2 linked regions of the Coturnix japonica genome follow. The protein of the gene in region 1 interacts with the protein of each later gene in a pairwise test. Links are inferred from orthologs where the notes say so. Each region holds a gene or a part of one and is shown in the gene's direction. Other genes may lie near its edges.

Evidence for each region.
Region 2: the proteins of FKBP1B (region 1) and RYR2 interact in binary tests that used the Homo sapiens proteins (3 or more experiments, as listed by UniProt). The link is inferred for Coturnix japonica from reciprocal best matches to the Homo sapiens genes FKBP1B and RYR2.

Annotation. Positions count from the first base shown.
Region 1 is NC_029518.1:95,086,025-95,090,478, forward strand, and holds the start of FKBP1B (peptidyl-prolyl cis-trans isomerase FKBP1B), read left to right. Parts: upstream 1-1,428; 5' UTR 1,429-1,555; coding exon 1,556-1,592; intron 1,593-3,027; coding exon 3,028-3,075; intron 3,076-4,454. UniProt on the Homo sapiens protein: Has the potential to contribute to the immunosuppressive and toxic effects of FK506 and rapamycin. PPIases accelerate the folding of proteins. It catalyzes the cis-trans isomerization of proline imidic peptide bonds in oligopeptides.
Region 2 is NC_029518.1:33,724,182-33,728,553, reverse strand, and holds the start of RYR2 (ryanodine receptor 2), read left to right. Parts: upstream 1-1,333; 5' UTR 1,334-1,469; coding exon 1,470-1,517; intron 1,518-4,372. UniProt on the Homo sapiens protein: Cytosolic calcium-activated calcium channel that mediates the release of Ca(2+) from the sarcoplasmic reticulum into the cytosol and thereby plays a key role in triggering cardiac muscle contraction. Aberrant channel activation can lead to cardiac arrhythmia.

The DNA of each region.
Region 1 (4,454 bases):
AGGCCATACGGTGCAACAGCTAGTTCCAAGGTTTGGTCAGGTTCCCCAAAGCTTTGTATGGTAACTCACAATGTGAAGACTTCCCTGGTGTTGGAAATTCCCTTGTGATTCGTGTCCATTACCTCTTGCTGTGCGCTTCCACCCACATGAGGGAGCTGCAGACAGCAGCAGAAGCCCTCCCTTAGCTTTGTCTTATGCAGAACAGCCCCAGATCCTCGTCCCCTCCACCTATTACATGTTGGTGGCCCGTTACTGAACTGGGTCTGCCATGTCAGGGTCTTGCATTGGGGAGACAGAAGCTTGGGAGAGAGTGAGTTCAGCTCAAGACATTAATCTTAAACCAACGTTTTTTGGAAGCGGTAAATTGTATTGACCTCTTCTCTCCCTTAGGTCCTGGTGGCGAGGGATATTTGCCTCCATTTCTAAGCACATACTATCAAATTCATTGCTCTAGAAACCAGTATGTCAAGCACTGAGAGCCTTGAAAGCTGAGGCTAGAGGGCTTTATGCTTGAGACACAGACCTCTGAGCAGAGGAGGAGGTGGATGTAATGCAATAGCTTTGAAAGAGCATTCTTTAAAACATTAATCCCCTATAACTTGGTTTTAGCCGTTCTCTTGGTCATTCAAACACTTTCCATGTTGGCCCTGTTGTTCTTTTTGCCTCTCCTCCAATCCTCTGCCAATACTAAGCCATTTTCTCTTGTATTTCAGAGGCTTTCCTGAAGATATGTGGCATTCATTGCTTCAGCCTTCTCTTCCGAGCTCTTCATCTGCTGTGCAATTGTTAACACCAGTATCTTCAAGGGCCTCTATAGCACTGTGTGAGTACCGTAAGGTGAGAAACAACAGCACTGTCTGCTGTTTGATATCTGTGACAACAATTTGTGCCCACAGGAGGTTCAGGTTGGATATTAGGGAACATTTCTACTCAAGCTGGTTTGATATTGGAGTGGGCTGCCCAGGGAGGTGGTGGATCGCCATCCCTGGAGGTGTTCAAGAACAACAGAGATGTGGCAGTGAGGGCAGCCCCAGGCACAGCCGGACTAAGCTGACCTTGGTGGTCCTTCCCACCTTAATGATTCTACCAGCACCAGCTGCAGTTCTCGCACAGGCAAATGAACTGGCGATCTCACATCACGGGAGCAGCTACGGAATACATACACACATCTTCATCTTTAAAGCTGAGGGCGGTACCTGAGGGCGGGGGTGCCGCTGCCCTCCCCGAGCTGAGGGGGCCGCGCTGCTGGCGGCCTAGCATAGCATGGCATAGCATAGCATAGCATTGCATTGCATTGTATTGCATAGCATAGCGTACCACCGCACTGCATTGCACTGCACAGCAGCCCCGCGTCCCCGGGGAGCTGCGGGCGGAGGCTGGCGGCCCCCCTCCCCTCCCCTGCCTCCCCGCCCCTGCCCTGCATTGGCTGCGGGCTGCTGACGGGCAGCCGGGGAGGCCCCTGTCAGCCGGCCGCGGAGGGGCGTGCCTGCACTGGGGGTCCGGCAGCGCCGAGCCGAGCCGTGCCCAGGGCTGCCGATCGGAGCCCAGCGCCGAGATGGGGGTGGAGATCGAGACCATCTCTCCGGGAGACGGTACGAGCCGCAGCGGGGAACGGGCGGCAGGGCAGCCCTGCGGGGTGGGGGGGTGGCGGTGCCCGGCTGCGGGGTGCTGCCGTCGGACGGAGCTCCGACAGCGGGGAGCGGCCGTACCCGGAGCGCCGGGTCCCGGGAGGAGAGCGGAGGGGGCGGCGCGGGGGCCGGGGATTTTGCTGTGGTATCCGCCGACAGCTGCACGACGCCGGGAGCTGGCAGTCAATGGGGATCGTGAGGCCGGCACCGCCCCGCCGCAAACTTTGCCCGGCGCTCTGCCGGCTCCCCCGGGGGCGGGCGGCCATTTGGGGCAGCATCCATCCCTCCTCCGGTACCCGGCTGGGAGCGGCATCGCCCTGCGGAGCCTCGCGGTCAGGCTGCTGTGTCGTTTCATGGCTCTGCTTTTTGTTGCCATGATTTCTACGAGCCCGCAGCCCCCAAGATCCCACCATCCCCATCCGCCTCCAGCCCACATTCACCCTCAGCTCAACGCAATTCGCCGAAGTCCGTCCCTGTGTAACTTTCTCGGCCCGTTCTCTCTGCTTCCTCCGTGTGTACCTTTAAACTGCCCTCTCTCTCCGTGCTCTTGTCCGCGGGCATCTCGCTGTGCCCCTGGATGGGCGCTCAGATGTGGGCTCAGAACACCGTGTGGGTACCTGGGCTCCCAGTGCAGCACTGCGTGTGAGCTCTTAGATCTTTGGAAGCCATCAGCTATCCCAAATAAGGAGATATCGATCATTTCTCTTGCTTGACTGTTGCACCCACAGCTGGAGGGGCTGCAGCCACACACAGGCTGATGCTCAGGGTGTTCCAGTGATGCTCGGAAGCACCATCTTCTCCATTGCATGACACAGATCTCTGTTTGTGGTAGCCTGTTCTCCCGCAGCTTGTTTGGTGCTTTGGGCATACGAGTCCTGAATGCACAGCTTGTATTGTTAGCCGATGATTTACACACGATTTTGCATAACTTGCTCTCCTGTTAAGTCAGACTAAGGAGGCCAGAGATCCAAGATACAAACAAACCTTAGTTTCTATCTGAATCCCTATTTCCTGCCCTTATGACAATGCTGTTCATTAATCATTTGTATCATTCATACTTCCTAAGTTCTTGAGTCTCCCCTTGCTGACCCTCCCCTGGCCAGCACTGCTTTAGAGATCAAGGTTAGCTGAGCCAGTGTGCAGCCAACACCTCTATGAGCCCAGCAGATCTTCCCCCAGCCTGCAGTGCCTGGAGCAGGTAATATGAAAACAGTAATTCCATCTTTCATTGAGGAAATAAGCTAAGCCTTCATTTCGGGGTGAACGTTTTAGGGGGAGCTGCCAGGCTCTCATAAGGATTCATGATCTCTCTGTTCTACCATTGCTCAATACTAGAACATTAACATTGTTAACTGAAGGAAAAGAGAAAATATACAATAACCCGTTATCCTTTTAACAGGGCGGACGTTCCCGAAGAAGGGGCAGACGTGTGTGGTGCACTACACAGGTAAGGCATGTTCTGGTTGTTGTGTCCATGCCAGCTGCATTATGCCCAACAGTGTTGTATCAGTTCAGTTGTGGCTGTTGCTTTGTGCTGCCGTTCACAATCGATTTAATTGTGTTGTGATGGATTTCCTGAATGTTTGACTTGTAGTTCAGGCTGCAGTATCGAGATGCGCGCGCCAGTGAATTTGTCAAGAGTGGTGTTTAGTGGGGACAAGTTGGCAGATGAATCTGCACACCTGATTCTTTAAGTCATTCCATGAGCAAATGAAATCGAGCATGAAGCAGTGCAAATGCCAGGTTCGTATTTTTCCAGCCTCTGACCTTGATACAGACAATTCATGATTGTTTATATCTTAAAAGAATCTGCGTGCTGCTGGTAGAATTCATTCCAGTTTGAAGAGATCCATTCAAGGTCTGGTTAACACCTGCTTTGTGGGTATGCATGAATCTCAAGCAGTGAGTTTGCTGGTGGAGCTGGTTGTGCTGTACCTTTGCACGGAGGGAAAATGTCCTTTAAGTCAGTTTGCAATGTTGTCTTGTGTATTTAGTTATGTAAATTGTCATAAGAATGCAGAGACTTCTGCAGCCTGAGTCCTCGGTTGTGACGTTTGCATCAAGAGCTGCCATTTCAGGAGGTTTTCTCCTTAGAATGTAAAACATCACCATTTTCACTAGATACAGTTAATGAAGTTATATGCATTTATATATATAAATATATACATTTGTATTTCCAAGAAGCTTTTTAACATGGTTTGAATAATCTTTCTCCTCAGAGGGAGCACTGTTAGCACACTGGCTTAGGATATGAGGGGTTGGGGTTTGCTCTTGTATACATTTATATGTTCAGAGTATTTTTATCTAGGGTTTCTAATAGGAGTTAGAACAGTGTGGAAGTTAAACACATGGATCTCCCATGCCAGCTTCAGCTCTTGCAGACATTTCCTTGCACCTTGGATCTGAAAATGGGTGTTTTGAAGCTGTTTTTGTGAAGGTGCTGAAAGATACATTTCTATTCCAGCCCCAAATTCAGAAGTTTTCCTGCAAGAAAACTGTCACCTCCCACCTCCAGTTGGATTTAGACATGTGAGTGTCAGAGGTGAAAGAGGCAAACTTTGCAGAGGTGGCAGTGCATAGCGGTGGTGGCAGTGGTCTATGGCAGCCACAGTGTGCTGGGTAACTTCAGAGGGAGTGCAGACAATGAGTGTGGAAAGAGAACAAGGTGCTGCATGCTGTTCTTGGCATTAGATAGATGACTTAGTTGAGGCTTTCGTAACTTGGCTTTTGATATAGAAGACTTTATGACAACTTATTAAATCAATCCCTGGCCTAAACTTTGCTTCCTCCATGCATGTTGCTGTTGGTGCTGTGCTCTCTAACTCC
Region 2 (4,372 bases), about 61 Mb from region 1:
TAATTGTACGTGTATCATATGTGCACATGTAAATAATAGTTCTTGATGAATAGTGGAAGAAGATCTCCTTCCAACTATATTTGATCTTTTTCACCCTGTTCAGAAAGCCATTAAACTAATCTTTACTACTTTTTGCTTTGTTTCTTATGCAAATTACGTAGCCACATGTGGTCTTTGCTATCACATGATATCCTTCAACTAACTGGGAAGGTCCAACAAATTTGATAGCATGAGAATTTTCAGGAGGAGTTTGCATCTCACTAAACAACAAGCAGCCCGATTATGAGCTCTATGTCTGTAGGCAACCAGGTATCACCAGTTCCAAGAACAAATTTCATTATGTCATAATGTTGTACTGAAAACTGTACAAACTGTTTCAGCCAATGATGTCACAGGGAACTATTTATAGCTTTTTCTTTTCTTTTCTTCCTTTTACTGCGTGTCCTTGCCTTACATGCAGTAAATAAAGCAGGCATCTCATTCACCACTCATCTACAGACCGATATGGAAAATATTCTCCTATTACTGAATAGAGAACCACATCCCATAAAATGAAGTGAATTGACCTTTACATTCATAAGAAAAGAAATGTTTGCAAATTGTTGTCTGAAACTGACTTATTCTGGGATAAAGTGCAATCGAGGTGTTATTTGTTCAGTGCACCTTCAAATTCAGACTCCAGACTTTTCTCCTAGCAGGAGTCTGTTTCAAGAAATATCTTTCAACATTTCACATCCTTCATCATGTGGAGGAAGGGATACTTAAGAGGTTTGTGTATTGTAACAATATGAAATGTAGTTTCTTCACTATTTTTTTCATACTTAGAAAAAAAGTATTTTCCATCAGGAACAAGTTTGAGAGGTAAAAATCTCTCGAAGTCAATGAAAACAGAAAATTATAAAGGGACTGATTAAGCTGTCAACCCTGGAGCTCATCTGTAGAACCTCTGACTCTGTTCTGTCGGCCTTGTGGGTTATGGCTGCACTTGCAGTTGCTCATCTATCAGAAGAACTGTTTATCCACAGCTGCCACGATCTTGACAGAAATTAAGTATTACTTTTTCGCAATGCCTCCAAACAGTGTGAAGGTAAAAACAACGACAGTCGTACAGCCTGTCACTGACCCTGCTTTAACCACTCTCGCACGTTTCAGAGGCCGACGCCCGGCTAATCCGCGCCGTGCATTCGTAGCTCCGCGGAGCAGCCAGCAAGGGGCGCTGCGCGGCGGGCTCGGCGCAAGGAGGGAGCGGGCTGCGGATCACCTGCAGCAGCCGGGGGGGGTCGGGAGCTCCTCCCCCCTTCCCGCGGTTAATCGCATCCCCCTCCGCCCGTAGCAGGCACTGGCGGCGCGGCGGCGGGCAGAGCTGTCCACCTGCGGCAGGCGCGCGGGCACCCGCAGCCCGTTCGCTCCCAGCCGCAGAGCGGTGCGGTTGTGAGCAGCGTCCGGGAGGAGGAGAGAGAGGGGGAGCTATGGCCGAGGGGGGCGAAGGCGAGGACGAGATCCAGTTCCTGCGAACTGTAAGTGCCGCGCCGAGCTCGGGGCGGGGGCTCATGGGGTGAAGGCGGCTGGGGGCGATGCTTTGAGGAGGACTGATGGGGGACGTCGCGTGAACGGGCGGGGAGGCGAGGGAGCAGCGGGGGGAACCCTGCCGGGGCTTTGCTGAGCAAGTGCCCCGGGCCCGCGAACGTGGTGGGGGGCGAGTAACAGCTGGCTCCGCTTAACCGGGCTGGGATGAGAGGGGGACGGTGCGGAGGCGGCGGTGCGGGGGCACGCGGGAGGGGGAGGCGCGTGCTGGGCGCCCCCGCCGCCCCCGCGAGTATCTGAGCGCGGCTCCCACCCGCCGCTGTGCTCGCGTACTGCGGATACTCACCAGGCTGCGCTCCTGCCTTACGGGGCTGCGACCGCGCTCCTTCTGCAATAGCAGCGCTGAGCGAATCGCCTCCCCACCCCAGCGAGGTGCCCACTAACTTATAGGCGTTCATCGCGCTGAGCACGGACTAACACAGCTCTTCTTTCTTGGTGTGAGCATCCTCAGTCCAAAGCACGTAAAGGCGCTAGAGCGTTTCTTCTCTGAGTTTAGCTCATTTGTCTGGGGGGCTGCGCTTCTTGCTTTTCTGGATTATTTTACTTCGTGCAATGCTTTGTTCACCTTCTGGACCGTCTCCCAAGTGCTGTTTGTAACTGCAGTCCTAGTAAGTTTTGGAGATGGGTGTATTCAGACGGTGCAGTATCCAAACCCAGTCACAGTTCTAGGAAAAATTGCTGAGGTGTCTGTTAGAGAATGAGATGCTGAAATAGCATGGTAACCCTTGTTTTCCCCTTTTTAATGCAGTCCAATGTAAGAAGTGTTAATGACAGATGTGTAGCAACAAAATGTATTTTAAAAGGATAGGAAAGCAAATTGCACAGCCTGTGCAAAGCACTTCATGTGCCATTTGCAGCATTATGGAGCTTAGATCTCAATTTTCTTGTGGTTTTATTTTTTTTCCTCTCCAATCAGAAGCTGGAAAGTAATAAACGTACATTCTGTTATAATAATAATTATTATTTTTGTTTATAGTTCTTGGAAACTGTGGTGTTATACAGGGAGGGATAAGGGTGTTATGCAACACTGGCATGAAAATTGTCAACTTTTCTTTTCCTCTTGGTATTATTTGGTTCCTACTGTGATGTTGTGTAACACCTGAAGACAAACCAGAAAATACTTGGATGAAAGAGAATGTGTCAGATCAATGTATAAGTTTTTATTGTTTGTCCTCTTACTGGAAAATGCTTTTGAAATACTTGTGCTGTCACAGACAGGCTTACTGCAGGTCTCTGTGTTAGGCTTAGCTCATGATATGCTGTTATCTGAATACTTAATAGGGAAAGCGAAGCTGTGGACATGATAATACTGCCGCGTACATATAGAGTAGTGCTGAACTATAGCGCCTGACAGCAGCAGCACATTACGTAAAACAGCACTCCTGATAATGTGCATCAGGCTTAACAGATTTCTGGCCAACGCAGCCTGAGACCATGCTTAAAGAATCTGTAGAATGTTGTACTGATGGAAAATGACCTTGAATGTGATAAGCTGAGGTGAAAGGGAATTCATGTGGTGAAATAATGAAAGACCTGAGAAATAGCCTTTTCACATGAAGTTTTTGACCCTCTAACCTGTAGTTATATGCAAGTAATAATTTTTAACTTCTCCTTATGCTTTGTTGAAGTTATGATCATGACTAGGTGAAGTCAGTTGCTTTAAGGTGTAACCTCAGTGTTTCAGTTCTTCTGTCCGTAAAGTTGTTTGGTTTAGTATTCTCTAGTGCTGTTGGGTACACATGGCTTTCTGAATGGCCTTGGTAGAAAGCACTGCAAATCAAATGTTACCTTGTAGCTGCCTCGATTTCTCCTTTTAGTTATTAATTTTTGAAGAAGTAATTGGGTACAGATGGATTTGTGAATGGTTTTGGTAGTTAAAATAGAAGACAACAAAGAACATCTTATACCAGCAAAAAAGCTTTCTGTGCAATGAATGCCTTAATCGTGACATCTGTGGACCTGCTACATATAAAAAGTGCTTTTTGAATTTTCTTCTTTTGACAGGTCTGGATAAACTTTCTGAAAAAATGGGTCTTTTTCTGACACTTCAAAATGCCTGTGATATCTTGAATTTTCTCTGGAATTCAAATACTATTTGTCATTTGTAATATTTCAAGAGAAATGTGAGACTTTCTTCAGTAAAAAGATTCGTTTCATTGTAGGTAGTAATTAAACTGGATTTGTATTTGCCATCTATGTGCTGATGTATTTTTGTGAATGCATATACATATACACACATATAAAACTTAGGTTTTCATGCATTCCTGCTTTGCCTAATGATTCCTCTTCTTTTGGTGCTCATCTTATTTTTTTTTAATGAGGCGGTGTCATGCGTTTCCTCCTACAAATTTGCTGGTTGGGTGCTTTATGTTTCTCTTTGGAACAATTTGAGTTTGATGTGACACTTTTGGAAAATGAATGTAACTTGTTAATGCTCTGGGCTTCTGGAAGCAATCCTTACATTGGCTGAGATTACTTCCGATAGACTCAGCTTCAGATAGACTCATCTCTCCTTAAGGAAATCTTGTATAGTCATGTGAATTACATGCTTCTTCACTGACAGTAGTCTCCTTCATTAGTTGAGGTGTCCTGAGTTTTGGAAGCTATTCTGTACCTAGAAGTGATGAGAAATGTTGTAATGTAGCTATTAAAGCTTGTCACGTTCCTGATGGCAGTATGTATGGTTTTCTGGAGCTGTGGGATTTCTTGCATTAAAGACAAGTGTTCTTCTTGGTGTTTATGGTAGGAGATATCATCAAGGCATGTTGAAGTGAGGCTGGCAGGGTTA